Alligator mississippiensis: one gene and its partners. The protein of the gene in region 1 interacts with the protein of each later gene in a pairwise test. Links are inferred from orthologs where the notes say so. Each region holds a gene or a part of one and is shown in the gene's direction. Other genes may lie near its edges. The genes, in order: CEP126, HMOX2 and YAE1.

Evidence for each region.
Region 2: the proteins of CEP126 (region 1) and HMOX2 interact in a two-hybrid assay, tested with the Homo sapiens proteins (2 studies listed by BioGRID and IntAct). The link is inferred for Alligator mississippiensis from reciprocal best matches to the Homo sapiens genes CEP126 and HMOX2.
Region 3: the proteins of CEP126 (region 1) and YAE1 interact in a two-hybrid assay, tested with the Homo sapiens proteins (2 studies listed by BioGRID and IntAct). The link is inferred for Alligator mississippiensis from reciprocal best matches to the Homo sapiens genes CEP126 and YAE1.

The regions. Positions count from the first base shown.
Region 1 is NC_081824.1:442,060,020-442,070,375, reverse strand, and holds the start of CEP126 (centrosomal protein of 126 kDa), read left to right. Parts: upstream 1-5,683; 5' UTR 5,684-5,823; coding exon 5,824-5,882; intron 5,883-7,337; coding exon 7,338-7,457; intron 7,458-10,356. UniProt on the Homo sapiens protein: Participates in cytokinesis. Necessary for microtubules and mitotic spindle organization. Involved in primary cilium formation.
Region 2 is NC_081836.1:23,781,924-23,792,432, reverse strand, and holds the start of HMOX2 (heme oxygenase 2), read left to right. Parts: upstream 1-6,016; 5' UTR 6,017-6,125; intron 6,126-10,509.
Region 3 is NC_081828.1:124,880,910-124,890,571, reverse strand, and holds the start of YAE1 (protein YAE1 homolog), read left to right. Parts: upstream 1-5,127; 5' UTR 5,128-5,268; exon of another isoform or gene 5,269-5,484; intron 5,485-5,564; exon of another isoform or gene 5,565-5,628; intron 5,629-5,729; 5' UTR 5,730-5,743; coding exon 5,744-5,860; intron 5,861-8,461; coding exon 8,462-8,583; intron 8,584-9,662. UniProt on the Homo sapiens protein: The complex LTO1:YAE1 functions as a target specific adapter that probably recruits apo-ABCE1 to the cytosolic iron-sulfur protein assembly (CIA) complex machinery. May be required for biogenesis of the large ribosomal subunit and initiation of translation.

The DNA.
Region 1 (10,356 bases):
CAAAATGAGACCTTCAATTGTTATAAATGGTTTCACAGCATCTCTATATGACACTGAAAGACACCAATAACTTTTTTGTTCGTATTTTAGTCAAGCACGTGGAAGTGTGCTAGCTGCCTGCAGAAACCATGTGGTGCCTCCTTCCATGCTGTATGAATCATGATTCAAGCTCAGGATGAGTCATCCCTCTGGTGGGCAATCATTACTTAGACAGTGATGACAGGAGACCAATTCCTCCCTAATACCAGCCTTAAAACCAGCAGGTCAGAGACTACTCTGATCCTAGTACCTGGCCTTGACGCTGGCCCCTGCTCTTCTGGTAACTGTGTCAGATTCCAACTTTGGGTTTCCTCCCAATTGTAACCCTCAGCTTCTGACCCGGGGATCATTCTTCACTCTGATCCTGGCCAAGTGTGACCTGTGACTTCCTAACCCTGGCTTCTGGACCTTGGCCTGTCCCTGATCATGATTTCAGCACCTGGATTCAAGCTGTAGCCCTGGATTCAGCTCACATCCCAATCCTGACACGTGCACACAGGTGAAAAAGGAACGAGTCAGATCCTTGAGTCTGCCATTCCTCATTCCATGCAGCATGGCCGAGTGGAACTCACAGAGAAGTACTGCAACACGATGAAGGGCCATAGCAGATTAATTCCCTGGCAAAAACAGAAAAGTGGCCTGCTCTTGTAGGGCAGGGCAGGGCAACAAACCTATAATCTAGCTCAATGGTTCTCAACATTTTAGACTTGAGGCTCCTCTCACTATAGTCAAGACTCCCATTGGAAAATGTCAGCTCTTAGTTTGCATTTGATTTTAGACTGCAGAAAAATAATAGAGCAATTCTCCTGTTGCTAAGAACTCAGAAAGACCACAAAAGGTCAGAATGCTTTTAACGCAGCGGGTTCCTATTTAAAATCTCTAGGTTTATCTTGTGAATCATGTTTTACACACCTAATACTGCTAACATTGTACTGAATCCCACCCAGCTGTGAAGCTTGGGTGACCTACAGGGAACACCTGAAAAGCCTGGAGTGCTATCACCAGTGGGAGATCCTTGGCATAAAGTAGGAGGATCATCACACCAGTGTCCTCACCGATGACAATGCCACCAGTATGGACGTGTTGATTATTCAACATCAGTTGTGGTGGGCAGGGCACTGTGTGCGCATGTCTGATGTACGTTCGCTGAAACAACTGCTATGCTTCCTACTCAGGCAAGGACAAAGGACACATGGGGGCCAGAGGAAATGCTTCAAGGACACCCTCAAGGCAAACATTAAGAAGGGTGGCATTGACACCACAAATTGGGAAAAACTAGCCTGGGACAGGTCTATGTGGCTTACTTTGAGGAAAACCATCTTGCCCTGGAGACAGATAAACAACAGAAATGGAAGGAAAGGAAACAAGACCAAGAAATCCATGGTTTGACCCTCCTTGTAACCACCGCCTGTGGCATTTGCCAGTCTGTGACTCTAGGGATCTTAGCCAAACTGACTTATCTACAATCCTTTAGTTGATCCATGGGAGTGGTCATCCTCAATCCTGACGGATCATCGCTGTAAATCCCACAGGACACCTGAAAGGATCTCAAGGCACTCTAGGGTGCCTTGATCTAGCCCATGAATGATTAGGAATTGATCTTTACTCTTCACTCAGGCAAAACACCCAATGCCCTGTTTCAGACTAAGAAACATTGAAAAATAAAGCTCATCAATTAACAACAGTTCAATAATCAGTTGGCAGTCATTCAAGATATGCTTGTCAGTACATATGCATTACAAAGACATTCAGTCACAAATGTACTTTAATTATCTGATATTTCTAACGTATTACATGTAAAAGACAAGTTAATGAAAACATCATTAACATTACAAAATAAAACACTAAGAGGTTAGGAAATTCCAGGATTAAAGGAAAGATGATTCATTTTGCCTGTATTCATGACTGGAGCCACAATCCCTGGCTGGGTTTTTATGGAAACAGGAATAGAGCCTCTCTCGACAAATGTTAAGTTGCTGATAAAAAGTCTGAGACACTTTTCCTCAAACAGTCAGAAAAATGGTTTAGCAGTTTTAACACTGTTTTCCCTTAACTTCATTCTAAAACAAAGATGAATCATTTTTGTTGAAAGCAAATAAATAAATCTGAGAAAGAACACACAAATGAAAGTATTTAACCTGTATGATTAGGGGTTGGTAAAGTTGAAGTTCTAAGCAATCAAAAACAAGTTAAAAAGAGAAGTGCTATCTATTTTAATGACACCAGTTGCCATCAGCATCCCATTATTAACAATCGTTGAAATTGTTTATTTTGAAAGAAACAAAACTAATTGTAAAATGTACGATCCTTCAGTTTTAACAATTAGAACCTAATAAAATCTGTCAAGTTTGATATGATCAGATTATATCAACCGAATCTTTACCAGGTCACAAAAACCTTGGACGCAGGTGTTGCGGTAGGCGTAGTCTTTCTAGACTTTAGGAAGGCCTTCAACACTGTCTCTCACTCCACTCTCATTAAAAAATGAGGAGATTGTGGTGTCGATGCCTAGTCAGATGGGTCACCAATTGGCTGGAGGGCCGCACCCACAGAGTGGTGGTGGACGGGTCATTTTTGACCTGGAGGGATGTGGGCAGTGGGGTCCCCCAGGGCTCAGTCCTCGGGCCCGCACTGTTCAACATCTTCATCAGCAACTTGGACAAGGGGGTGAAAAGCACCTTGTTCAAATTTGCAGATGACACTAAGATGTGGGGAGAAGTCAGCACACTAGAAAGGAGGTACAGGCTGCAATTGGACCTGGACAGGTTACAGGAGTGGGCGGATGAGAATAAGATGGGATTCAATACTGAAAAGTGCAGGGTACTGTACCCAAGGAGAAAGAATCAGCAGCACACCTACAGGCTGGGGAACTCCCTTCTCATCAGCACAGAGGCAGAAAAGGATCTTGGAGTCATTATAGACTCCAAGATGAACATGGGCCGCCAATGTGGGGATGCAGTCGGGAAGGCTAACCACACCTTGTCATGCATCTACAGATGCATCATGAGCAGGTCCAAGGAGGTGATCCTCCCCCTCTATGCGACACTGGTCAGGCCCCAGTTGGAGTACTGCGTTCAGTTCTGGGTGCTGCACTTCAGGAGGGATGCGGACAGCATCAAGAAGGTCCAGAGGAGGGCCACTCACATGATCAGGGGGCAGCAGGGCAGGCCCTACGAGAGGTTAAGGGACCTGAACCTGGTCAGCCTCCACAAGAGAAGGCTGAGAGGGGATCTGGTGGCCGTCTATAAACTGGCCAAGGGAGACCAGCAGGCAATGGGAGAGTCCCTGTTCCCCTGAGCACTACTGGGAGTAACAAGGAATAACAGCCATAAATTGATGGAGAGCAGATTCAGGCTAGATATCAGGAGGTGCTACTTCACAGTCAGGGCGACTAGGATCTGGAACCAACTTCCAAGGGAAGTGGTGCTTGCCCCTACCCTGGGGGTCTTCAAAAGGAGGCTGGATAATCACCTAGCCGGCGTCATTTGACCCCAGCATTTTTTCTTGCCCATGGCAGGGGGTTGGACTTGATGATCTGCTCAGGTCCCTTCCGACCCTACAACTATGAAACTATCTTGTAGGCTCCTTTCATAAAAGTGAGCAATGAAGCAAACACTATTATTTCTTACAAGGTAGCCCCTACATTAAAATCTTGTGGCGACTTGTCCCTCATCACTTACAGTAGGGATGTCAAACTCACCCTGCCCTGCAGACCAGATGACTGGCATAGGACTGGTCCGCAGGACATATTTGTCCCAGGTACCCCATCCCTCTCCCCCAGTATACCCAATCTGGTGATTGCTCCAGCCTGTCTGGGACCCATACTGCATGCTGCACAGATTTTGGAGTGACTGGAATGGGCGCTGCATGCAGTGCAGTCTGGCTGAAATGACACACAGTGGCCACCCCAGCCAGACTGCACCACACGCAGTACCCACTTCAGCTGGTCAGGGACCTGCCCTGCATGTACACACCAGGATCCACGCTGCACACAGTATAGGTCCGAGACTAGCTGAAGCAACTTCCAGATCAGGTATGTTGGGGTAAGGGGAGAGGGTCCCATGCCACGTCCTGTATCGGTCTGATCAGACCCAGGGGACATCACCAGGGACCAGACAGCCAGAATATGCTGCAGACCAGATCCAGCCCACAGACTATGTCTAACATCCTTGGTTCAGTACACCAGTTATTACTAGATGATCTGGGTCATTTCCCTATTCTTTTTGTGTTGCTGGAAAGCTGAGAGTAGCCTGCTTCCTGTCCCTAAAGAAGGGGTGGGCAAACTGCGGCCCATGGGCCAGATGCGGCCCACCAGGCTATTCTATCCGGCCTGTGGGGCACCTAAAAATTTAAAAAGTTAATATTTATCTGCCCCTGGCTGCCTGTCATGTGGCCCTCAATGCCTTGCCAAAACTCACTAAGTGGCCCTCTGCCCAAAATCATTCCCACCCCTGCCCTAAAGGAATCCCAAGAACTACTTCAGTTCCTCAGAGACCTCAGCTGGCAGCTCCTCCTTTAAGCGGTCAACAGGGGCATATATGTGGCGTGCTTTAGGGACACCCCTGACACTTCTGCCAAAAGAGGCAGACACTGGCACACGCCTACCTCCAGTACCCCAGGTTGCAGTCCCTTTTCTGCTTCCACTAAAACCTCCTGCTATGGCTGCTCTTCTTCCCGCACATTCTCTGTTATATCCTCCCCATCCATAGCCCCACCAAGCTCCAGGACCTCCTGGCCAACCCTCCTTCTGGCTCTGGTTAAGCTGGCCATCGAGCAGACCATGAAGGAGGCTCTGACCATGGGGAACCTGGATGAGCGTGAGGTTGTCTGTCTTCCTCTCACTCCTTCACACACATCTCCACGAGGAGTTTTGCTAGTTGGTGTCTGCAGGCTCCGTTGTCTCTTTCAGGGGGCAGTGGGTGCTGGACAGTGCACTCTGCTCCAGGTCCCCTTCTGGATCCCTGCTTCTGAAACTGCAACCTTGCTCCCAACCCGCCTTCTTTTTGTTTGTTTAGTTATTTTCTCCATGGCCTTTCAGGGGTGCACAATCCCATGAAAGTAGTAAACAGGCCTGTCCCTAAATAATGGAGCTATAGCAGCAGCGGTTCACCTCGCACTCCTCTGCACCCAAAGCCCAAAGACACGGCTCCCTATCCACGCCAACCAAGACACAGCTCCCTAATCACGCCAACCAAGACACGGCCCCCCCATCCATGACAACCCATCCCCACCAACCAAGACAAGGCCCCCCATCCATGCCAACCCATCCTCGCCAACCAAGACACAGCTCCCCATTTATGCCAAATGACACGGCTCCCTATCCACGCCAACCACTACATAAACTGGGGGGCACGAATACGTTTTTGGCCTGCTGGGAATGGCAGCCAGGATCCCTGGGGGCTCCTAGGGTCGCAAGGAGCTCAAGAGAGGATCCGATCCACCTTTCGGGCGGGCCGCCGCTCCCACTCCCTTCCCCCGCCCGACCTGCTGCTCTGCCTCGTGCCCCCGCGCGCCCCGGGCCCGCCATCCCTCTGTCCCCGGCGCTGCGCCAGGCAGGAGCCCCGCGCCCAGCTCGCTCCCCCAGCACTTGCCCGCCGCCCCACCGCGCATGCGCGGCTGCCGCGCCCGGCCCCAGGCCCCGCCCCTGGTTCCCGTTGCGAAGGCAGCGGCGTCGCCTGTTGCCGGGATGGCGATGGCGGCGGCGGCCGGCGCAGGGGCCTGCGCCCTTGGGGCGCCCGCCGGGCCGGCAGTGCGGACGGGGAAGGCAGCGACCGCTCGCGGGTGATGAAGCCCAGCAGGAGCCTCGCAGCGGAGGCCCAATGCGGCCCCTCCGCCGCCCACGCGTATCCTCTGCGGGCCGGGGGAATGGGGCGGGCTCGGGGGGAGGGGGTTCCCCGGGGGGCAAGCGGCTGCACGGGACTGGCCGTCGGGGCAGGGGCAGGGCCCTGCTCGACCTCCAACAGGTGCTCCTAATCCCTGCGCAGGTTGCAGCCAGGCCGAGTCCCCTTTCTCCCACAGGCCAAGCCATACCCCCACTCGGGGCACCCACCAGATCCGGCCCCCAGGCAGAGCGGGCGCTGCCCATCCGGCCCTGGGCGCTGCTGCGCTCCTTACTGCTTAAAACGGAGGGACTGTTCAGTTCCCCCGCTGGAATATTGTTGCGTGTTGTAGGTAGTACTGAGCTCACGGGGGTATAGCACTGGGCCAGGCCAGTGAGGGCCACATCTTCACAGGGTGACCTGGCTTCCTGCCCTGGTAGGTGAGGCTGGGAGGATTCACGCCTTGCAGACCCCTGGCGATGTTCACAGAGTTACTCTCTGTACAGTAGAGAACTGAAGAAGCTTGGGGACTTTTAGAGGACGGTTGTAGCTGCGACGGTCCGGGAATTACGCTGGCCGTGCTGGAGAAATACTTTGCTGTTGCTGTACTGCTAATGCGTACCCACGTGTGGTGGCGGTGACATGCAGCTCAGGTGCTGGCATGTCTCAGCATTTGTATTGCTGAGCTCTGAACGGGATTAGATGGCAGGATATGCTCTTTGTATGTACCCTTTGCTTGTCCCGATGCTGCTGCGTGCACTTGTTTAGTACTACCAAATATGCCTGATTTAAAAAGCTTATATTTGTTTCCCTACTCTAATCTCTCTAGTCCTGGGACTTTTAATATAACCTTTGTTGTAGTGTTGGATCATAAGGACATTGTGTGATTTTTACATTATAGTTTATTTGCTCTTGTTGTTTCTATTGTGAACAAGATTCAGAAAAACTCTTCATTCCTGACCCAAGTGTTTCATTATCTAGAATGTAAAGATGAGATTAAACAGTAAGAGGTATATAGACATGTCTGTTCAGACGCACTGTAATTACAGCAGATTAATCAAATCTACTAGAGTGGGCTAATTAGCATGCTCCAGCAGCCTTGGCATCTCATGTATTGAGTGTCTTCGCTCTTCAAAATGGTGGCATGGGGCACTTTAACTAAATGATAAGTGTAAAGCCCCAGCAACTTGTTACGGTCATAGAAGCTGAGAGATGGAATTACACTCTTTATGCGTGTACATTGTGATAATACCTTTTCTATATCCACATTCTGTTGCTCATGAATACAATTTACTTCTCAAAAAGGTACGTAATAAAGCACCAGTCCTTCAATGAAATCCATGCAAACAGAAAGAATCCTATTTTTAGTCTATACCTGAGAATTACAGCTTGTTTTTTAATCAGTCTAGTACATAGTAAGAATAATGACTAGGAGTTTCCAAGATTTTAGCTACAACTTCCTTAACTAAATATTAATAGAACCGTAATGTTTCATCTTGGAAGAGATTTAGAAGAAGAGCGTCAAGCATTACTGGAGGATCAAAAAATATATCGAAGTCGGGCACGAAAATATTTTATAGAGACAAATAGAAGAAGAAGGTAACCTCATCTTAATAACTTATGGACTTAAATAATAGCACTGCTTCATTCCAAGGGAATCCAGAGTTTAAGGGTTCATTAATTTTGGTTGCTATAGGACATCCAAAATATAAAAAGAACTGTGTGAGTACAGTCCAGAGTTGCTCATTATTTTAAAAACCCATAGTAGCTAGCTTTGTTTATCACAATTTACTTGTGGGTCTGATTTTCATTCCTTGTGTTCCCAATGAGTGGGAGCTTTGGGTAGGCAACAAATACGGGATTGAGCCCTTTTTATACCGAAATAGGTAGTAATGAAGGCCTCTTGAGAGAATATTTGAAAAGGTGCTTATGAATATTCTACTATTTCACCATAATGTTTCAATTATATATCTTGAATCATTCATTTAAGTGCCACAGTACTAAATGGCATAGGTGATTTATGTGATGCTGTGTGAAATACTGAGTTCTGTCAGTAATTCATAAGGGAAATGGTAGATATAGCTTAAAAAAATAAGCTGTATTCTTGAACACAAAGTTATTTGACAGAGTCGCAGTTTCTTTAAATGTCATCATTACACATTGTGTAAGTGATTGAGGTCAAATATTTAAAAATGTAAAGAAAAACTGCAAAGGTCGTAGAGCTGGCTATGAGTGGTCAAACAGATAATCTGAGCAGTGACCTTTGGGAAAGAATAATAAACTAAACCTCAATTGAAAGATAAGACACCAATTTAGTTTTCTGTTACAGTACTGCTGCTGCAGCTGTGCAGTTTAGTAATTTGATAAACAGCATAATCTCATCCTTTTCATAGACATTTCATAGACATTAGGGCTGGAAGGGACCTCGGAAGATCATCGAGTCCAGCCCCCCGCCCAAAGGGCAGGAAGTCAGCTGGGGTCATAGGATCCCAGCAAGATAAGTATCCAGTTTCATCTTGAAGGTGTTCAATGAAGGCGCTTGAACGACCTCCGGTGGCAGGCTGTTCCAGACCTTGGGGGCTCTGACAGTAAAGAAATTCTTCCTTATGTCCAGCCTGAAACGATCTTGTAGTAGTTTGTGACCATTCGACCTCGTCATCCCTTGGGGCGCTCTGGTGAACAAACATTCCCCCAGATACTGGTGATCACCCCTGATAAACTTGTAGGTGGCCATCAGATCACCCCTGAGCCTGCGCTTTTCCAGGCTAAAGAGCCCCAGGGCTCTCAGCCTGTCATCGTAGGGTCTGCTTCCCTGACCTCTGATCATGCACGTGGCTCTTCTCTGGACTCTCTCAAGCTTCTCCACATCCTTTTTGAATTGTGGAGCCCAAAACTGGATGCAGTACTCCAGCTGCGGCCTCACTAAGGCCGAGTACAGGGGGAGAATGACGACCCGGGATTTGCTTGAGAAGCATCTATGGATGCAAGCTAGCGTTTTGGTCGCTTTACTAGCCGCAGCATCGCATTGCAGGCTCATGTTCATCTTGTGGTCAATGATGACCCCCAAGTCTCTTTCTTCCATAGTGCTAGCCAACATAGCACTGCCGAGCCTATAAGGATGCTGCAGGTTTTTTTTCCCAAGGTGGAGAACCTTGCATTTATCGGCGTTGAACACCATCAGATTCTCTTCCGCCCACTTGCTGAGCCTGTCCAGGTCAGCCTGGATCATCCGCCTGTCTTCTGGTGTGGATGCTTTGCCCCAAAGTTTGGTGTCATCTGCGAACTTGGCCAGTCCGCTTCTGACTCCAGTGTCCACATCATTAATGAAGATGTTGAACGGTATGGGTCCAAGGACAGAGCCCTGGGGGACCCCACTGGTCACAGGACACCACGATGAGTGACTTCCATCAATTACTACCCTCTGGGTCCGACCCTGGAGCCAATTTTCCAGCCAGTGGATCGTGGAGGACCCAAGGCGACAATTGGCCAGTTTCTCCAAGAGACGATCATGGGACACCAGATCGAAGGCTTTTTTGAAGTCAAGATATATGACATCAATCTCATCTCCCTTGTCCAGGTGATAGGTCACCTGGTCGTAGAAGGAAATGAGATTGGTCAAGCAAGACCTACCCGCAACAAACCCATGCTGGCTATCCCTTAAGATGTTGGCGTCGGCCAGTCCATTAAGGATGGCCTCTTTAATAAACTTTTCTAAGATCTTCCCTGGGATAGAAGTCAGGCTGATGGGCCTATAGTTAGCCGGATCCACTTTCCTCCCTTTCTTGAAGATAGGCACCACATTGGCCTTCTTCCAGTCTTCGGGCACTACACCAGAGCACCAAGAGTTTTCAAAGATCCGCGCAAGAGGCTGGGCTATGATGCTCCCCAGCTCCTTGAGTACCCTGGGATGAAGATTGTCAGGGCCGGCTGACTTGAAGGTATCCAGCTTCTCAAGATGTTCCTTCACGAAGTCAGCATTAATGGGGGGCAGGGGATCACCCTCATCCGGACTTCCCGGCCCTGTAGCGGGCATGGGCGTCCCATGGGGCTGATGAAAGACTGACGCAAAGTACCTATTTAATAGGCTGGCTTTTTCCTGGGCGTCAGTTGTCAGTTGCCCCATCTGGTTCAGCAGGGGTCCAACGTTGTCCCTGCTTTTCCTCCGGCTCCCCACGTATCTGAAAAAGGACTTTTTATTGTCCTTGATGCTCAAAGCTAGCTGGAGTTCAGTTGCAGCCTTGGCTTTCCTGGTCAGCTCCCTACAGGACTGGACCAGTGCAGAATAATCCTCCTTGGAGGTGACTCCCATCCTCCATCCTTTGTAGGCCTTTCTTTTTAGCCTCAGGAGGTCTGCTAGGTCCCTGGAGAGCCAGGGGGGCTGCTGTGCCCTCTTGCTGCCTTTCCTCCGAGATGGAATAGACTTAGTTTGTGCATTGAGGATCGCTCCCTTGAGGAGCAACCACTCTTCTTGAACTCCCCTCTCCCTGTGGTCACAGTC
Region 2 (10,509 bases), on another chromosome or scaffold:
CACTGACAGGGAACTGTGGTGGGATCGCTCCAGGTGGGTCTTAACCTCTCTTTATCCCACCCTGGATTCTTAATACCCATAACCTCTTCTATCAAAGCAATCAGTAGGGTCCACCTCTCTGCCCCCTCTGCACCATTCTTCCGCTCTGTACTCTCCATCCTTGATCCTGTTCGTGATGCCAATTTTGTCACAGGCCAGCTGGGCACTGTGAGTGTATCAATTTTATCACAGGCCAACTGGGCTGTTTGATTCAGTTTCGCATCAAGGAGGCAAAGTTGGGAGTGAAATAAAGGCAAATTTATTATAGCTTACATACACACAACAGTTAACAGGAAGATAAATGCAATAAGCAGATAATACAGTATAAAAGAGCTAATAGTAAATAATAACAACAGATAACAACAACAAATAGATAGATCAATCTGTTGCAGGCCAACTGGGCACTGTGAGGGTATTAGCCACACTGGGCTGTTCACAACAACAAATAGACAGACATGGTGTCCCAGGGGTGCTGGGGTTACAGGAGAACCCCAGGCCAAAATAGAAGAAAGCCCCAACTTACCATCTACAGGGGCCGAAAGGAGTGGGGAAGCATGCGCGGAGAAACCGCCCACGCGGTTTGTCAACCGTGCTCATATCCAGCTGGGGCCGGGTGACGTCAGCTGGAGACACCACCCAGCAGAAACAAAAGGCTGCCCCGAGGGCACAGGAAAAATGCCGGTGAGCAGAGGCTCCACGGAGAAGTCCACAGCCCAAAAGGCACAGCTGCTGTGTTGCGCAGCTCGGGATGATGGGGGCAGAGCCAGCAGAGAAGCCAGCAGAGAAGCCAGGAGCGGAGCCGGTGGAGGCGCCAGCAGAGAAGCTGGCAGAGAAGCCGGTAGCGGAGCCGGCAGTGGAGGCACCGGCAAAGAAGCCAGCAGAGGAGCCAACTGGCAAGCCGGCAGGGAAGCCGACTGGCAAGCCGGCAGAGGAGCTGGCAGGGAAGCCAACTGGCTAGCCAGCAGAGGAGCTGACAGAGAGGCCGGCAGAAGAGCCGGCAGGGAAGCTGACAAAAGGAGCAGCGGTGAGTGGGGAGAGAAGAGGAGACGAGTGCCGGGGAAGTCGGAGCAACTACAGGGAAGCCAGAAGAAGAGGTAATGAGGGCGGAGCCAATGGGAACCCCAACTGGGATAGCCGCTGAGTGAGCGGTGGAAGACCCCAAGCAGGGACGGTTAACGGAGTAAGGGAGCCAACAGATGGGTCCACAGCATCCCCAAGAAGAGTTGGCCAGGACCCATAGGACCTTGGTCAACCGGGACGCCATCCCCGGAGTAGGATCTGTTGCTGCCGTGCACTGCAGCGAGGGGTCCGGGGCCTTAGGGGCCCAGCAGGTGGGTACTTGTGACGCTTGGAGTGGAATTAGGCACGGACGCTTATCGGTTGCAAAGCAAGATTGTTTACTTACGCTGTCAAGGTGGTGAATGACGGAGGTCAGAGATACTTAGTTAGTTACAGCTTAGAGTTCATTAGGTCGGTCTGCAGATATATACGGGCCGGTGGTCGGCAGATTATGGCTTATCAAGCATGCAGGTGAAGGGTACGCCTAGGAGGTCGCAGCAGGGAGATTGATGAATGATCAGCTCATCAATTTACTCTGTGACGTGTTCAGAGGTCTCCGATTTTGCTGAAGTGCAAGCGGGTTTTATTTGTGTAATAGCCAAGTGTTTTTCGCCACGTCATAAATTTAATTAGAATCGCCAATTATATAACGATCTCCTCTAGGGTTTTGTTGCAGGGCTACTCCCTGTTTTACTCTGACCAGTTATAATGATTTATGTACAGCACAGAAGGCTAAAGTTTAATTTCTTATTAGTGGCGCAGCTATAAATCTCTTGTTGGCATGCACAGCGAAGAAGGCTGTTACCAACAAGAATTTCTTTTTTAACCCTTAGTTGACTCCAGTGCAGAGTGAAAATGCTTTGAATGGTATCTCTTGCTAGTGGCATGGACACTGCTTAATTGGGTTGTGACAGGGTCAAGCGCAGGGGAGAGATAGGAGCCCCGAGTGGGGCAAGCAACCGGGTCTGGGGCACTGAGGCACTGGGAAAACACAGGGCCCGTAGACTAAGGGGCACTCTATATTCCTTTGTGGCCTCCTGGCCCGCCGGTCACAGCTCTTCGGCAGTCATGGTGGTGGGGATCGCACGTTGCGTCACGGTGTGGTTGGAATAGGGAGCTGGGGACACAGGATAGCCAAATCTAGGACCAAGGGCCTCAGAGCTTTCACGCCTGAGCTGCAGCCCAGGGACACTGGGGCTCATGGCTGGAGAGCCACGGAAGGCTGGGGAAGAAACCGAGAGGAACCAGGGACGCCAAAGGGCCAGAAGACCTGCAACCAAAGGTGGCAAGTGGCCGGGGTGTAGGGGAGGTCGGAGCCCTGTGAATGCCCGCTGAGAGGCGTGACGACCCTGGAGGCTGCCTCAAAGGGGAACCCCTCCACTGAGGTTCCATTCAAAGTCGTGGCAGGCAAGTTAAGGGGATCCCCGGACGTCAGCCGGGGTAGCCTTTGGGGTCCACTCGCAGGCCTGGGACAGACAAGATTGATGGTCCGGGCTAAGGCTGCAAGAGAACACCTGATAGAGCAGAGGCGGGCACACATGGGTTGGCAACTTATCGACAGTCCCTCAATGCCAGGTGCGTGCCAAGTGATTCCAGCGAAGTCAGGCGTCCCTGACGATTGACGCTGTTAGAGGGATTACCGGGGAAGGTCCCTTGATCAGGATCCAATCCTCACTCACACCGGGCGTCTGGGGTCTGAGCATGGAACAGAAATGACCGTTCTGTTCCCTCCTTCCTGCTAGTTACCTGATGCATGTGCTTTTTATACCTAGTCTTATATTAATCTGTTGGCCTCAGGGCCATTCACAATGTCGCCCTATAGCTGTTACCCTATGGGATTGAAAGGTGTTAAAATTATCATAAAAGGTTACTACCCAGACTCGGGTTTATCCAATAAGCAAATTATGATGCAGCACCTTTAGGTTTGAAACTGACATCACTCCGCCTAAATCCCAACCCCTTTTAGGCTTCATTTGAATATACTTTCTTGGGATATGCTTTCTTGGAACGTGTTGGGTGTGCAAAGCAGTTAGATCCAGTTTTTATTGCTAAGGCTGAACCCTGAGCAAAAAACCGTTAGGCCAGCTAATCTCACAGCTACAGCTTTGCCTATGGGGCCCAGTCAGTTCCATGAACAGTTAATTTATCATTTTGGTTAAACTTATGACAGACAAGTTACATTTGCAGTTTACAAACTTACAAGCTTATATTAACTAATATTACCTGTTTAGGCAAAATACCAAATGCCTCCAAGCACATATTATTGCTATTAATCCCTCTGGTTCTGGCTGTCACAGGCAGTTAGTCATAAAATGACATAGCCAGTCTAAGACAGTTGAATTGACATGAGTGAATTGTTCGGGATGGATGTTATCCAGGCCCAGTGCTTTCAGACATTTAGTAGCCTTTTTAGTTCATAAACGTTGACCCAATTATCAAAATTCAAGTAATCTAACCAGTAAGGGCAACCAGATGGCAGTGTGCACCAAACTCTACTGCCAGAGTACTTACTGGCAGAGCTGTGTGAAACTGCACCATTTCATTTTGACTTCCATTTTGCTGTTTCATTTCATTTCGAAGGTACTGTTCCACTTTGTTTCGTTGAAATTGTTTCGCTGTTTTGATGTTTCGCCCATAGGCTATAATGGGGAAGGCTCGAACAGCCTACAACTTTGTCATTTCTGGCCTGATTTGGATGAAACCTGCAGGGATGGTAACCCGTTTTGAAGCCGGCCAAGTTTCAAGGAGATAGGTGCAGGGATTTCTGGGAAACTGCACCTCAACGTCTTGAAAGCAAGACTTCTATCACGTGTGTGTGTTCAGGCACAGCAAGGTGAAAACTGCAGGCATGGTAGCCCCTGCTGAGGGCACGGAGCCTGCCAAGTTTCAAGGAGAAGGGTGCAGGGGCTTCTGGGAAACTGCACCTCAAGCCGCTGACAAGCAAAACCTGTGACTTGTGACTGTGCGTGTGTGTTAAGGTGCAGCTGTTTTTCTGTCCCTCCCCCAGAGCACTGGGATTGGAAGGGACCTCAGGGAAGGATCACAGTCACTGGTCAGCTACATAGTCAATATCAGAGCAGTCCTTCCCTCTTCCCCCTCCCACTCCTTAGTTTCTGTTTCCCTGCAAGCAAGCCTAGCTTTGAAACTTGAAACATTTCAAGTGCCCTCGTTTTGTTTCAAGGCTGTTTCGAAGACTTTCATTTCAATTTTGCTATTTTGAGCTTGAAAAAAGTCGAAACAGCGTTGAAACGAAACAATCAGTGAAATTTCCCACAGCCCTACTGGCAATGAGTGATAAAGATGATAAGCCCAGGAGGGGAGTGAGCAGTGAAAGGAGATTCTGCCTGTTTATTCTGGTGGCCCTCTGTACAGCTCCTGTGACTACTCAGTGTCACTTACTACTGGCTCCTGCTTGGAAGGTTATCTTTACTGCAAGGGCTGCAAATGAACATTTTTCTTCTAGTGAAAATTTAGAGGAAATGTGATTGGATAATCTGTTTTGAGTGGATGCGTGGGTTTCACTGGGCGTCATTATTATGAAGCACTGAGTTTTAATAAAAAAGGCTTTTTTTATTTAGAAATTCACAAATCAACTTTATTTAAAAACCTTAACTTCAGATCATTATACCAAGGAGCTGGCATTTATTTGCTCAATGCTTTAAATGTCAACCACATTGACATTTATAGCATTCTTGGTCTGTGAACTCCTAAGAAATGGAATGAAGCTGTTTCTGTATCTAATGTATGAGGGCATGAGGCATGGGGAGTGTGCCAGTCCTATTTCCAATGTCACTCCTATCTGCCAGGAAATTTTCCAGAACTTTTAAGTCCTATCTCTTCCCTACCAAAAGGGACACTGTGCGCTTGCTCTTCCTACTTGCAGAAGGCAGACCATCACCCTGTCTCACCATTACAGGGTGACTGGCAGTGTCTCAGAACTGAGCTGCACAAATCAAATTACCGCTTTACTTCTGTTTTGTGATAGACAGCAGAAGAAGTGGAGGATTTGCTCAGCCTACCTTTGATGATTCCTTTCTCCAGCTTTCCTTAGTTTCTAGGTTTTGAACTGGACTTGGAGGGCACAGGACACTCTTGGAGGGTTAACTGCCATGCTCTGCATTTACAGGAAAACTGTGGCAGGCAGGCACACTGTTCCCATGCCCAGGGTAGGTGCTCCAATCAGTCTGTGTTCACAGGGTTTTTTCATGCAGCTCATCAGAGCAGCAACTTGGTCCTGAGGGAGCAACATGTAACCCAGAATAAGAAATACCACAGAACCCAGCTGGTGTCACTCAGACAGTGTGTGTACAAGATAGCAAAAAAGCAAATCCTGGTCTGTGTCCAAGTCGACCCTGTGTTTGTCCAGGAATAAAAAAAATCTCTTGGGATGGTTGGGACACACATCACCCTTCTAACCAGGGTTTGGTGAGCCGCTGACTGCACTGCTGCTTTTCGGCCATTGATTCAATGCTGTTATCCTGGGATAAACTCTGACCAACTCTTATCTCCTGGGGAACCTTTTTTAGGATTTATCCCAGGACAACAGAGACAACCGTCTGCCTGGCCATGTCACTTTGTCCTGAGATAAAATGGTTTCTCCCTGGATTAACGCCACGTGTGCTTGCGTCTGTAAAGGGCAGAAACGGGAGAAGTGGGCCCAGCAGGGACTTCGTCCCCCGCACTTTATCAACTGGTTTCGGTCCGTGTGAGGGCAAGGCCCCTCGGGCCGGGACTTGGCGCTCCGCCCCCAGCGGGCGGGGAGGTGGTGGCGCGCGCTGAGGGAGCACGTGCACTGGCACGTGGATGAGACGGGGGTGAGGCTCTACGGCCCGGGGTCATCGTCAGGACCCGGTTCTGTTGCGTCACGGCTCCAGCTACCAATGGGAGGCCTCGTCGGCGCAGCCATTTTATTTACTCACGAGTTCGCTGCGGCTTCGCCCCTTCGCGATAACTAATCGCGGCGGTGACTGGCGCGTGTCCCGCCTCTTCCGGCCGCGCTGGGGGCGGTGGCGCTTGCGCTAGCGGCGGTGAGTGCTGCGGAGGCTCAGGGGAGCCGGGGCCGGGGCCGGGGCCGGGGCCGGGGCCGCACGACCCGCGGGTTGGGCGCGGGGCGGGGGCTGCCGCTCTTCCAGGAGCCGGCGCGGCCGGGCGCCGTGTAGCCGCCCCGTGGTCCGCTCCGACCGTCCCGGCGGGGGCCCCAGTGCTGCGGCCGGTCCCTTTGCAGCGCCCGCGGCTCGGCTCGGCCCGGCGCTGCCGGCTGTGCCGGGCCTCGGGCCTGGTCCCAGCTCTTCCCTTCCCCTGCCCTTCAGCCTGGAGCTGGCCGTGTCCGGCCGGCCGGCCGGCTCCTCTGCGCCTTCGCTGTGATTGCTCGAACATGTGTAATGACTTTATAGCTGGTTTCTCTCCAGCTTCGGCGCAGGCCCTGCCAGCTCCCAGCTGCTGGGCAGCCCGCGCAGCACAGCACGGTGCAGCCAACGTGGTCCCCGAGCTGCGGGGGTGCGGGGTGCTCCAGGTAGCAGCTGGGAGACTGTAGCTCCCGCGATCTCCCCGCCATTGTGACCCCCCAGCTGTGGGGCACCAGGGCTGCAGCTGACGGGGCTCTTAGTCCCGGCTGCACCCCACATGCAACTGTACTGAGAGCCCCATCAGACCTAGGACTCTCAGTCCCAGCTGTGTGGGGTCCCTGTAGCTGGGAGCCCCATCAGCAAAGCGGACTCCCAGCCATGGAAGCCTGCTTTGTACTGATGTTGGAGGAGCCCAGGATCCAGTTGTCCCTATACCAGCAATAAGGTGTGATTGGATCTAATGTGCGATGCACTATGGGGTGGATCCTGCATTAGATCCAGTTGTGTCTATACCTGCATGTGTAGTGGGGCCCTGTTTCCCCATTTTTTATTCCAAACATGAGGAGTTGGCCAGCCTCACTGGTGGTCATGCATGGCCTACTCATTGATCATTATTGTTTAAAGAACTCCAGTTGGCCTGCCGGTGAAATCAGAAGTCTAACTTTTTTTTTTACCTGCCACTGAAATTTGGGCCTCTTCTTATTGTGCGGGTGCTTGATTGTAGCTGTTACGATGACTGTCATTACTGCTGTCCATACAAAGCTCTTGTATTAGCATGAATATGTTAAAAGACAGCCAACCTGTGGCTACACTACGAGTGAGAGCCCATTTTTGTGAACTGTTCTTTGTGCATATTGTATTGGAACTTTTATTCCCCTTTCCTTGTTGAGAACTGACACTTATCACTGGGTCCAGTTCAGTGTTAACTTGTGTACTGCAGCATAAAATGGATTTGAATGCATATAAGGTTTCTTGCTACATGACAGCAGAGATGTGGGTTTTCCAGAAAATTTTGAATTGGAAAATTTCCAATGCCCTAAATAGAGTGTGATCTGATTTAGCATGTTTATTTGACGTGTATTTAGTAAACAAAACTAAAAAAGTACCCCATTTTAATTTTATGTCCCAATAGCCACAAGTATTTAAACTGAAATATTTGATTAAGAAAAGAATTGAATATAGTGCACTTAATATGGTTTAAATGTTATATTCAAACAAATTCAAAGCTTCATGTAGAAAGAAATTATTTTTATTGCAATACTAGCAACAATGTAAAGACAATACACAATAGCATGTGCTTCCCTGACATTGTTTGTTTAAATTTAAGGAAAAAAGGCATTGAAAACTGTTGACACACTAATTTGAGCACACCCAAAGAACTGTGCATGATATGCTGTGCTGTGGTTTTGATTTGACCTGCACAGCTGATTAGGTGAATTCATACCTTGATTTTTGGTTTGGCTTATGTGAGTGTATTTACCCTCCTGTTTACAAATCAATTAAACATGTATGTACTCTCTCTCACACTTCCTGGGGATAATCGCCTGAAAAACATTAATTACATCTTTGAAACTGCTAAGCTTGCCTAATATTGTATTGGCATCCATTCATTGTTACTAATGAATTTTATGAAACAATGAATTTTTAGAAATGGAAAGTTTTCCATGGTAAAATAAAGCACTGGAAAATTTTCTGCCCCACATCTCTGCGTGGCAGAGCTTCAAATTGGAGAACTGACAAGTAAGGAACTGTGTTCCATGGGAGAAGATTATTAGGAATTTCTAAATGTTGCGGGGGGAAAGTTGTTGCAGTAATTTCTCTTTGGGGAAAATAGGGTGATTTCCTGTGCTGTCTTCTAGCTAAGATTATCAAGGCTTTGGATGAGGGGGTGGGAGGGTGTAAAGGTGGACTTAGTCCATGGAAGTGAACTCGGTGAAGGAAGAGCAGAAGCCAAGTCCTCATCTACTGAATCACTGACCCCTTCACTTCCTTCATAATGGGAGATGATAAAATAGCATGGACTAAAAGTAAAAAATAAGAAACAATACCTTTGTCAGCTCCAGTTGGTACACTTGGGTCTCTCTTTATGCGAGCGTTGCATTCCAAAAATACCTTGCATAAAGCGAATCCATTATTACATATAATTAATAGGGATACGTACCAGCCTCACTCTACTGCTCCCCCAAAACATAACCAATTCAAACAGTAATCACCAGGGCCGTCCCCAGGGAGGTGGGAATCGGAGTGAGTGCCCCGGGCCCGCACTTTGGGGGGGCCCTGTGGCATGGGGCAGAGCAGCAGCAGCACAGAGCCGGGTGGAGCGGCACAGAGCCAAGCATCCAGCTGCTTGCTGCCTTCCGCCACAATGGGGCTGTGTGGAAAAGGTGCTTGCCCCATGCTGCAAGCACCCCCAAGCTGGACAGCAACCTCAGGCCTGCCCAGCTCACTCCCTACAGGGGCCTCAATCCCCCTCTTCCCCACTTACCTGCTGGAGCTGCCCTCAAGACTAGGGGCCATGTGCATGTACTTCCAGTGTCCAAAGTAGGCGGATACATTTTTTTTTTTTTTTTACGTGCACATGGCGCCCCCTGTCTCCCCTCCCTCCTGCTTCCTTCCAGCTCTGCAGGATGGGACTGCTCATTGCCAGCTGACTTCGCATAATATTGGATTTTTCTCACAAAGCAAATTTCTGGTATAAATAAGGTTGTCGCATATAAGTGAATTTGCACAAAACGAATTCACATAAAGAGAGACCCAAGTGTACTTTCTTTTTTCTTCAGGGACTTGGCTGAGATTTGCAGCTAATTGAAGCAAATTCTGAGAATGACTCAGATGCAGCTATAAGGTAGAAATAAATACCAGTAACACCACTGAGGGCCTTTGTCCTCTTGTGGTGATGCAAATGGATGACAAGAACTATACCCACTGCTGTTGGGGTTGAACTTGCTGTCACTGATTCACCTGCTGGTGACATCTAAGTCTGATGTCATACAAAGAATAAAGAAGTTTAGGTTTGAAATTGTTGAGCCTAAAAAATAAAACATCCCCCCACTTGTCAGAATCTGTTTAGCAACACAAGTGCCCAGGAGCATATTTCTTCCATGCTCCTCTTTGCTCGTATGCTTTCGAACAGTGGGGTTAGATCTGAGTTTTGGTCCTCTGTGGGATTGGCCAAAGTTACCAGAGGCTCAAAACAGTAATCCTGTTATTTGGCCATACAGCAAATGTTCAGTTCCTGCTCTGACACATTTGCTGTATGGCCTTTGGCAAATCACTAACCTGTTTGTTCCTTTTAGACCATTAGAATACTTGCTTATTTCCGAGAACTGTTGGAAGGAGTAATTAAATTGGCCTGATTTAGTGGTGTATTGGTGTGAGAAGAACTGCTTAGACACTAGAGGCACTACCAGCTTTCTGACTGGTCACATGATGACTCATTTGTTTTTTATCTTTCTGTGTAAATAGGAAAGAGGAATGTGTTCACTGTGAAACTGAACCATTTGGGTCAGGGGCAACGGTGCACTAGATATGTATTTAGTTTTCTAACCATGGTAATCCATTAACAAGGTACAAACAGTGCCTGACTTTCTTATACCTGCCTTATTTCTGGAAATTGCTTGAGACCGAGCAACAGTGGTGTTGCTGTAATGAGACTGATTAGTACAGCAGCTAGTGATAGGTCTTGTCAAATTTCTAATATTCCAGTGCATTATTATTGGCAAGGACTGCTTGAACAGTGGTGAGTTCTGTTGACAAACTTTATGATCTAGCAGCAATATCAGCTACTTTTCTAATGTAAATGGCTAAAACTAGTTATGTCTGAGAGTTTAGATTCCTCAGTGGGCTTCAGTGTTTTGGTTTTTAATCAAACCAAAGGATTCACTTGAACCAATTACAAAATGATCTGCACTGCTTATGATTAAAGTGTCATAGGGTCTCTTACTTCCTTGCATTTGAACATTTTTGTGGGAGATTATTATTAGACAAGTACATAATAATTAATAATGTTGATAATGAAGATGATATAGCAAGATTCTAGCTGCCATGCTTGAGTGACTGATCCCTC
Region 3 (9,662 bases), on another chromosome or scaffold:
TATGAAGAAGTTTTTCGTAATGTTGAGTCTGAATTGATCTTCCAGGAGTTTGTGGCCATCATTCCTGGTTTTCGCCTCCAATGCCCTGGTGAAGTTGCTCACCGAGCCCTTGATGATGTACTCCCCTAATGTAGTGGTGAACTGCTACCAGGTGCTCTCTCAGTCTTCTTTTTCTCAGGCCGAAGAGTCCCAAATCCCTCAGCCTTTCCTCATATGGCTTGCTTTTTAAGACTCTTCTTTGGACTCTCTTAAGCTTGTCCACATATCATCATAGATGTTGTTTGTTTTTTACAGTAAATGCCAGGTTTTCTAAAAATTCTATACCTGGTGACAATATATAAAACTTCATATACTACCTTTGTTGTTGTGTATTCTTTTTTTAAACATATTGTGATGAGAGAGAAAAAGAGAGAGAGGAAGAAAAAAGAGGGGGGAGAGAAAAGAGAAACCTGCTAATATTGTGGCAGGGGGCAGAGTAGGCCCTTGGTCACAGGGTCCTACCCCACTCCTACCAACACTACTCCTGTCTTCTGTTCCTTCACCCACTGTACCTTGGCCTTAAATGGTAGGAAGAACAGAGAGAGACAGGGGTTGACACCTGATTGTCCTTGGCCTTTACAGTGAGGCTTGGAAGATCACATCCTGGGTCTTCATATGCCACCCCTACACCATGCCCATACTCTCCAAAGAGATGTTGCCATGGAAAACGTTGGTTCTTTAAGGATACACTTACTTAATTCCTTAAAATAGATGCTCTGTATTCACTGCCATAAACAAGCAAAAATGCTCTCAAGTAAAAAGCTTTTCTTAGTGGCTGCCTTGGCCCTGCTTCTGACAGCTGAGTTTGGTGATGTTAGGCTGGTAGCTGGTTGTTAAACACAAACATGTATCCAAATGGTCAGTCATCAGATGGTTTCTCATAGGACCGAGTATGGTTTTCATTTGTGAAAACACGTGTTCACACCGATAAGTAGATCCAAAGACAGACAGCAAGGCAAAAGCTACTTATTTATTCATGCATACTTTTCAGGAAGGGAAGACCAACATAATGTAGTCTTGAGTTACCATTCCCTTTCATTCTCAAATTTACCTTGCAGTGATGTGAACTTCAGTGCCCAGATGCATGAGCTTTGAAAGTCAAGGAGTACCAATTTAAATCCTTCAGTGTTCATCCACTGAAAGTACCGCAGTTCAATATCACTTTCCCTAGTACTGTCCAGGTTCACAAGAAATGAAAATATGAGTCCTCTGTTGCAAAAGTCTTGGAAACATCTGGTGTACACATCTTCCAGCTGTCCTATGTAGTTGCACATATTCCTATTATTCAATTGATGCTGCTCGGAATGGATTTTCAGACTGGGGTAGTAACAGAAGGCAGACGTTTCGATATCTCATCTGAAAACAGACATCTTATCACAGAAAGCTTTCCAGTCGTCAGACAGCTGAAGGATGGTTTTCTGTGTTCCTTGTAACCTAGTATTCAAATAATCTAAATGTGATGTGATGTCTGTCAAAAACATCAGTTTTGTTAGCCACCTGTCATCAGTAAGGTCTGCATATTGCTGACCACTTTTTTCAAGAAATAACTAGGTGGATTCGAGACAAGCAACAAATCGCTTGAGCATGTTACCTCGACTCAACCAGTGTACATTACTGTGCAGCACTAAATCTCCATATGCAGAATCCACATCATTTAAAAGTTCACGGAATCCCCTGTGTGTCAAAGAGGAGCGGGCAATCAAAAAGCTGACATTTTCACACCACTGTCATGATTTCATTTAAATCAGAAGATGAAATCTTAGCGCACAGGCTCTCCTGATGAATAATACAATGGAAACTTATAAGAGGATGTCCAATCTAAGTTTCCAGAAGCTTTACAAATCCAACTGCTTTACCCACCATAGCAGGTGCACCATCAGTGGTAACAGAGAACACTTTGTGCAGGTCAGTTTGTTGCAGTGTGAAAATAACTTTGACAACATTAAGTATAACATTGGTCTTTGTTGTGCTTTGCATAGCATGCAAAGAAAACAATTCCTCCCAACTTCCCCAGAGACAAAATATCAAACAATTATAGCAAGATGCCGGATATCGTTTATAGACATAAACTTTCACCCAGTGCAAGGCTCATCGCATCACAAGCATGGAGGTCTCGAGTCACTTGTTCCCTAACATTAGTTGCCATTTCATCTATTTTAGCCTTTGAACAGTCCTGGATGACAGCGGCATTTCACCAGTATGAGCAATGATGTCTTATTGGCAAAATCCTCAGCACGTTTTAAGAAAGAATCCTTTAAGTTGTCTCCATCTGTAAAACACTTGCCTTTCCAAACTTTGTTTTTTTACTATCCATAGTTATATATTGATATGCCTTCTACCTGTAAAATTTCCTGAAGTTCACACAAACCGAAGGCAGCACAAACAATTTAAACAGGCAAACAGAAAGGAGAAAATCAGAAAGAACTGAATTATTTGAAGTACATGTAAATCTGGGTAAGTATTTCCAAGAAGGCAATCGAAGTGCAGAAAACACACACACACAAATGAGCAATATGTAGTGTTTAAATCAAGGAACGCAAAGCAGAGAGATCAAGATAAACAGAATACAAACAGTTTTAATAAAGTAAAAACCTGAAAAATATGAACTGGTTTAAGAGAATGAAAAACTGAATAAGAAATTATTTTCAGAGCAAAATAAACTGATTCATGTGAAGTGGCTTGAGAGAGAGCAAAAGCTGTATATAAGTCCATTTAACAGAGCAAAATAAGCTGATTCATGTGCAGAGAGAGCAAAAGCTGAATATGAATCAAAATAACAGAGCAAAATAAACTGATTCATGTGAACTGACTTGAGAGAGCAGAAACTGAATATGAATCCATTTAACAGAGCAAAATAAAGCTGATTCGTGTGCAGAGAGAGCAAAAGCTGAATATGAATCCGTTGAATAGAACAAAACAAACTAAACAGTACAAACTGGCTTGAGCGAGAGCAAAAACTAAGTCTGCAATAATTTAACAAAGCAAAATAAAATGGCATAATATGCAATCTTAAACTCTGTTTGCAGAATTGTTTTTTGTAAAAATATATGTCTATATGTATATGAGGTTATACATATCTATACTCCGAGTATCACTCCACAAAGAAAACCTTAACCCGTTACAAAAACCACACACATACAAAGGACCGTTGGCCACCTGGACCTATTACAATATCTGCCTTGCACGCTACACACACACATATACACAAACTGGTCTCTCAGACCAGGCAACCCCTTCCTTTCATCCCCACAGAAATCAGCACTAGTAGCAACAGGCTACTGAGTGAACTGCCGCCCAGAGCCACGTGCCTACCTCATATAACTGGAGGCTGGGTGCAGCTGGGGGCAGGGTCCCTGCACCCCCTAGCAAGTAACTTCATGCCACTCTCTTCTTTTTTTCTAAATAAACATCTCTCTCACAAGGCTGTTGTATATTGCCAATTAGTTTGAATAGTAAACTGAACATGTAAAGCGTTAAGTGTTGTTAAATGCTGATTCGTAAGGATGTTGTTTCATGAAGGTGATAAAACACTGGTGAGAGACAATGGCCACCTTTTACCCCTTTTTTTTAAAGCATAACATACTGTTGACATCAATGACAGATCATACTCCTAGCAACCAATATATAATAATTTAGCTATTTTGCCTGTCTCTAATCAACCTACTGTAGCATAAACAAGCAGATGTGAAGTATGCTACCACTGTTTCCTGATCTCACTGTCTCTGATTCTGGTAAGATGCTATCAACACCACCAGCTTTGTGACTCGTTCTTATGACAATCCAAAACTTTTCCTGGAATCTCTCTTTTCTACTTGGCAAGAATTGCATACATCTAGCCAAATTAGAAAGCTAATTTCTGAAAAACCGAATGCTTCTTTAGGCTTGCGCTTTTACAGTGCTTGTAAAATACTTGATTTGGGAGTTGTAATTCTTCCCACAAGTAACTTCCTTTCTTGTCACCTTCCTTACAGGAAGGCTACAGAGATGGAGTTGAGGCTGGAAAAGAATGTGCACTCCAGCAGGGCTTCAATCAGGGATACAGAGAAGGGGCCAAGATGATGAGGACCTGTGGCCAGTTCAAAGGAATTCTAAAGTAAGTTTTGAGACCATGATCTCTTTTTGAAATTCTAGCTGTACTATTATTCCAGTGCTAAGTGGTTTGGCACTTGGGTCAGTGAAAGACCCAAGTGCCAAACTCTCTCAGGTTGTGCTTAAAAGTTGGGCAGCACAACCTGAGAGAAATCTAGACTTCTGTGCTAGGCACCTAGGTGCTCCCTATACAATGCATGTAGAGACGTTGGCATCTCAGTATGTGATCCAAAACGGCCAGCATGCTCCAGCTGTCTAGAGGTAGCAAAGAAGAGACACTGAAGACAGGGAGAAAATCTAAAATCCCACCTTTTGGGGTTAGGTCAGAACTGCACGGAGGCTGCTATTCACTCGGGATCCATAGCGGGTAGACTTTCCTAAAAAAACCTGCCTACAGCCACTGCCTCTCTTACAAGCGGGGTGCTCACTGCTCGGGGCGGACGAGTGTCTGTCCCGCCTCCTCCCAGCTGTCCTGAGGGCACGTCACATCCGCCCCCTTCTGCCCCGCCTCTGAGTCTCCCGGCCCGGGGCGGGTGCGGAGAGCACAGACGGGGACAAGGGACCCGCCGGGTCGTGGTAGACGGCGCGTCCAGGCGGAGGGCGGCGCAGGAGCCGCGCGATGCTGCCCCAGCCCCTCCCCCCGAGGCGCGCATGCAGCTGCCTCAGGCCCGGGGCTCTGAAGACAGCGCCCCCGTTCGCAGCCTGCCCAGCAAGCTGCAGGCAGGGACGCCTTCTCCCGAGCCAGGCCGGGGTTCAACAGCCACTCCAGCACTTGTCCCGCCCTCTCTCCCAGGCCCCGCCCTGCGCGGCGCTACATGCGGGAGGGTGCCTGCTTCCCCCTGGGGGCGGGGCTGGACTGGGAGATGCCGCCCTCCCCGTGCGGCTGGGCCCAGCCCACTCCCGGCCCCGCCCGCGGAAGAGGCGGGGCCGCGAGCGCCTGAGCCGTCCCCACGTGAGTGCTAAGGCGCGCGCGCACCTCGGAGCAGGGGGCGGGGCCGGAGGCATAGGCCCCGCCCCCTTTGCGTGCTGTTTCCGACGGCCCGGGAAGAGGGGCGGGGTTTGAGCGCGGCCCCCTCCTTCCTGAAGGACCCAGCGAGCCGCCGGGCCCCGCTTGATACCACCGCCAGGAAACTGCTTGGGGTAAAACTCCTCGTTAGGAGCCGAGCACCCAGTCCCGCCGCTATTCAGTTAAATATAACTGTCCAGCACCGTGAAGTCAATCGGTCTACTTATTGCACACAAAGTTAAGGACACCAGTCTTGGCAGGATTAGAGCTTGAGGTTGTGTTTTGGTCCCCAAAACGGGCACAAATAGTATTGAGGACTCGGGTGTTGTTTCAGAGGAGCTGGAGACGGGGTAAGTGCTGGCAAAAGCCAACAAATTGAGATGCACAACGTAGTTTTCTTTGACACAATCTGCCTTGCTTCCTTTGACAGACATTGCCTGGCATCTTGATGCAATGTGAAAGTAAACCTGAAATTGGGATTACTGGTTTCTGAGGTTAGCTTTCCTCAAAAACCTGCCCTTCCTGCCTGGGGTTCTGACTTAGTGCTGGGGTGGAAGCTCTGTTTGGCATCTGACTGTACCTGTGGTGTTCCTAGGAGCTCCTGCTACCATGTCCTGGGTACAAGCTGCAGTCAGCAGGCCCAGAGAGGATGTATTCGATGAAGATGCTGATGAGATGCACCTCGTACAAAAAGAGTGGAAGAGCACCATGGAGAAAAGGATCAAGGTAATCTTTATCACCGTCATGATGTTTTCAGTAGCCTTTTAGCCGTTTTCTTTCCTACTGCTTAAATAATGCTTGTTTAAATAAGCAAAAGTGAGAATGGCTGCTTACAAATTAGGCCTGTGCGAAGCAGCAGGTATTCGATTCGGATTCAGCCAATTCAGAGGGACGGTGATTCGAGTTGCTGTCCTGATTCAATTCGGCCGAATTGGATCCAAAGATTGGGCGACAATTCAGAGATTCAACCGTAGACTAAACAGGCAGCAGTCCTCGACCATGCTGGCCACAGCTGCTTCCAGCTGATAAGTCCGTTGTGGTGGGCAGAGGTGGGAAAGAAGGGGCAGGGTGGGGGGCATGTAGATCAGTGCCCCCACAGCAAGGTGGGGATTGGGGTTGGGGCTGGGACTGGAGCTGGGGCTGGGACAAGCTGCCCAGTCGGGGCAGGGGAAGTGCAGGATGTGGGAGTGGCAGCACTTGGAGCAGGAGCTATGCCCTGCTGCTGTTTGCCCAGCCGGGGGGTGGGGGGCATGATGGAGGTGCGGCTCACTCTGGGCAGAAGGCACTGGGAGCAGGGGCTCTGCCTTGCCGCCGCTAGTCCAGCCAGGGGGGCGTGCAATGCAGGTGCAGCTTGCTCCAGGCAGAAGGCACTGGGAGTGGGGGCTATGCCCTCCTGCTGCTCGCCCAGCCGGGGCGGGGAGGCACAGGACCATGCCACTGCACTGCCTCGGACAAGTAGTGTGCAGTGGCAGAAGCTGTTGCAGCCTCCGTGTGCCACCTGGACAAGCCGCAGCTTCACCCCGCCATGCCTCGGCTGGGCAAGCAGCAACAGTGCATTGGGGTGGGCGAGTGGACCCGGATTGAGGAGGGGCCAGCGGCAGGGGCTGTGGGGAATTTTAGGGTTGCTGCAGCCCCCCCCATAGCCCCTACTTCTCTGCGCTCTGTGGGGTGGGCGGAGCCAGGGCTGCACTCTGGACTGAGGCTGGGGCTAGGTGCCAGGAGCACCGCCCAGGCCCTACCTACCCCACAGAGTGCAGCCTGGCAGCAGACAGCTGGAGCTAGCCTCCTGGAGCGCAGCCCGGCCCAGCCTACCCCACGCAGATCCAGGGGCACACGCCCGCTCCCATGCCCTCCCAGACCAATGGTGTCCAGTGGCAGGAGACTCCCGCCCCCTTACCCTGGCTGGACAGCTTGTCCCAGCCCCAATCTCTCCCTCGCTGTGGGGGCGTTGATATGCCCCCCACCCCATGCTCCTTTCCTCCCCCCTCTGCCCATCACAACAGACTTACCAGCTGGAAGCAGCTGTGTCCAGTGTGGTAGAGGACTGCTGCCTGTTTACTCTCCGAATTGGCGCTGGATTGAATCAGAGGCTTCCGATTCAATTTGGACCTTTTAATGGTGTCCTGATTCAATTTGGAGATTTGGCCGCCAAATCAGGCCAGATCTCCTCCGAATCAAATTGGCTACCGCAGTTTCGCACAGCCTTAGTAAAGATCATGATGGTTCAGTTTCTTCTGAGTGACTTGAAAACTGAACAGAATTAATGAAATGATGCCAAGTGGAACATATTTGAGATTCTTTTATTAAGAGACTGTCTGAGTATTCCTGAAAATCCAAAAATTTATAACCACAATCCTGAATGCTTAACTCTACCCCAGATTAAATATTCATACACATTCACTATTCAGTTACAGTTTATAATGATGGACTCTTGCTGCATAATTGTACGTAAATCTATTCCTTCAAATACTCATGGGCTTTCTGCTTACAAATTCCAGTGCATCAACAGACACACACACATGCTTAGTGGCAAAAATATGCAAAATCAGTCATGTGATCATTCACCTTTTTGATAGGGAACACCGTCATAGCAGAATTGTTGCTAAATATCTGCTGCATTCTGTCTTTAAAAAGGTGGGAACCGAGAGGTGTGGTGGGCTTGAAAAGTCTTCTAACCTCGATTTGTAGCTTTGCCACTGACCTTCTTTGTGGCCTTGGGCAAGTAACTTAATCTCACTCTCTCATCTACTTTTATAAAATAATAGACATCTCTCTCACAGGGGTTGTGTATAATGACAATTTATATAGTAAACTGAAAATGTAAAAGGTTAAGTGTTGTAAAATGCTGATTCATAAAGAAGTTGTTTCATGAAGGTGTTAGACACTGGTAATTGAGAGACAAGGCCCACCCTTTACTATTTTTTTTTAAGCATAACATGCTGTTGACATCAATGACAGGTCATACCCGTAGCAACCAATATATAATAATTTAGCTATTTTGCCTGTCTCTAATCAATCTACTGTAGCATAAACAAGCAGATGTGAAGTATGCTACCACTGTTTCCTGATCTCACTGTCTCTGATTCTGGCAAGAGGCTATCCACACTACCAGCTTTGTGACTCATTCTTATGACAATCCAAAACTTTTCCTGGAATCTCTCTTTTCCACTTGGCAAGAATTGCATACATCTAGCCAAATTAGAAAGCTAACTTCTGAAAAACTGAATGCTTCTTATGCTTGTGCTTTCACGGTGCTTGTAAAATACTTGACTTGGAAGTTGTAATTCTTCCCACAAGTAACTTCCTTTCTTGTCACCTTCCTTACAGGAAGGCTACAGAGATGGAGTTGAGGCTGGAAAAGAATGTGCACTCCAGCAGGGCTTCAATCAGGGATACAGAGAAGGGGCCAAGATGATGAGGACCTGTGGCCAGTTCAAAGGAATTCTAAAGTAAGTTTTGAGACCATGATCTCTTTTTGAATTTCTAGCTGTACTATTATTCCAGTTCTAAGTGGTTTGGCGCTTGGGTCAGTGAAAGACAGAAGTGCTTAAAAGTTGGGCAGCACAACTTGAGAGAAATCTAGACTTCTGTGCTAGGCATCTAGGTGCTCCCTATACAATGCATGTAGAGACGTTGGCATCTCAGTATGTGATCCAAAACGGCCAGCATGCTCCAGCTGTCTAGAGGTAGCAAAGAAGAGACACTGAAGACAGGGAGAAAATCTAAAATCCCACCTTTTGGGGTTAGGTCAGAACTGCAGGGAGGCTTTGCCATTCACTTGGGATCCATAGTTGGTATACTTTCCTAAAAAAAAAAACAAAACCCAGGTGTCTATATTTTTTCCTTTCCATAAACTGAGTGGTGATGGTGCCTATGCTCATCACACTGTGTAATGTCCTATTGGACAGAGCACTTGCCCAGGAAGCAGGAGTTCTAGGTCCAAACCCACATCTTCCACCTCTAATAATCAGGCTTCAAACTTTTTTGGGTGGTGGATTTTCTCCCTAGTCCTGTTGAAGCTGTTCCATTGTGCACAAGAGAGTTACTGGGCCTAAGTGGGAGGAAGCATGACTCTGCATCCAAGCAGTTAGAGCACTCACTTGGGAAGGAGAACCCTAAGTTTCTGGTCCATGCTTCAGGAACTTATATTTTTGCTTTAAACAAACATTGGTTACTATAGAATTAATCCTTGGAGCAGACACTAGGAATTAAAACTATCTCACCATGCTGGAGAGATCCCTAACCACTAATTACAGTCTTTTTCCACTTTGAAGTTGAGGGGGCATGGCCTGCTATAAAATCTAGAGTCTCTTTGCCTTACTGGGCATGGCCTTTGGGAGTAAGCTTGTCTCACTGCCAGCACCCCTGGACTCGCTCTCCTGGACCTCTTGCCACTGTCACTGGACCCTGTGTTGACACTAGTCCCTAAACCACTGCAGCAGCCCTCATGCACCTGTAGTCCAGATCCAACCCAGGACCACAGGGGAGTTTGACATCTCTGCCCAAGATGCCTGAATTTCTGTCACTG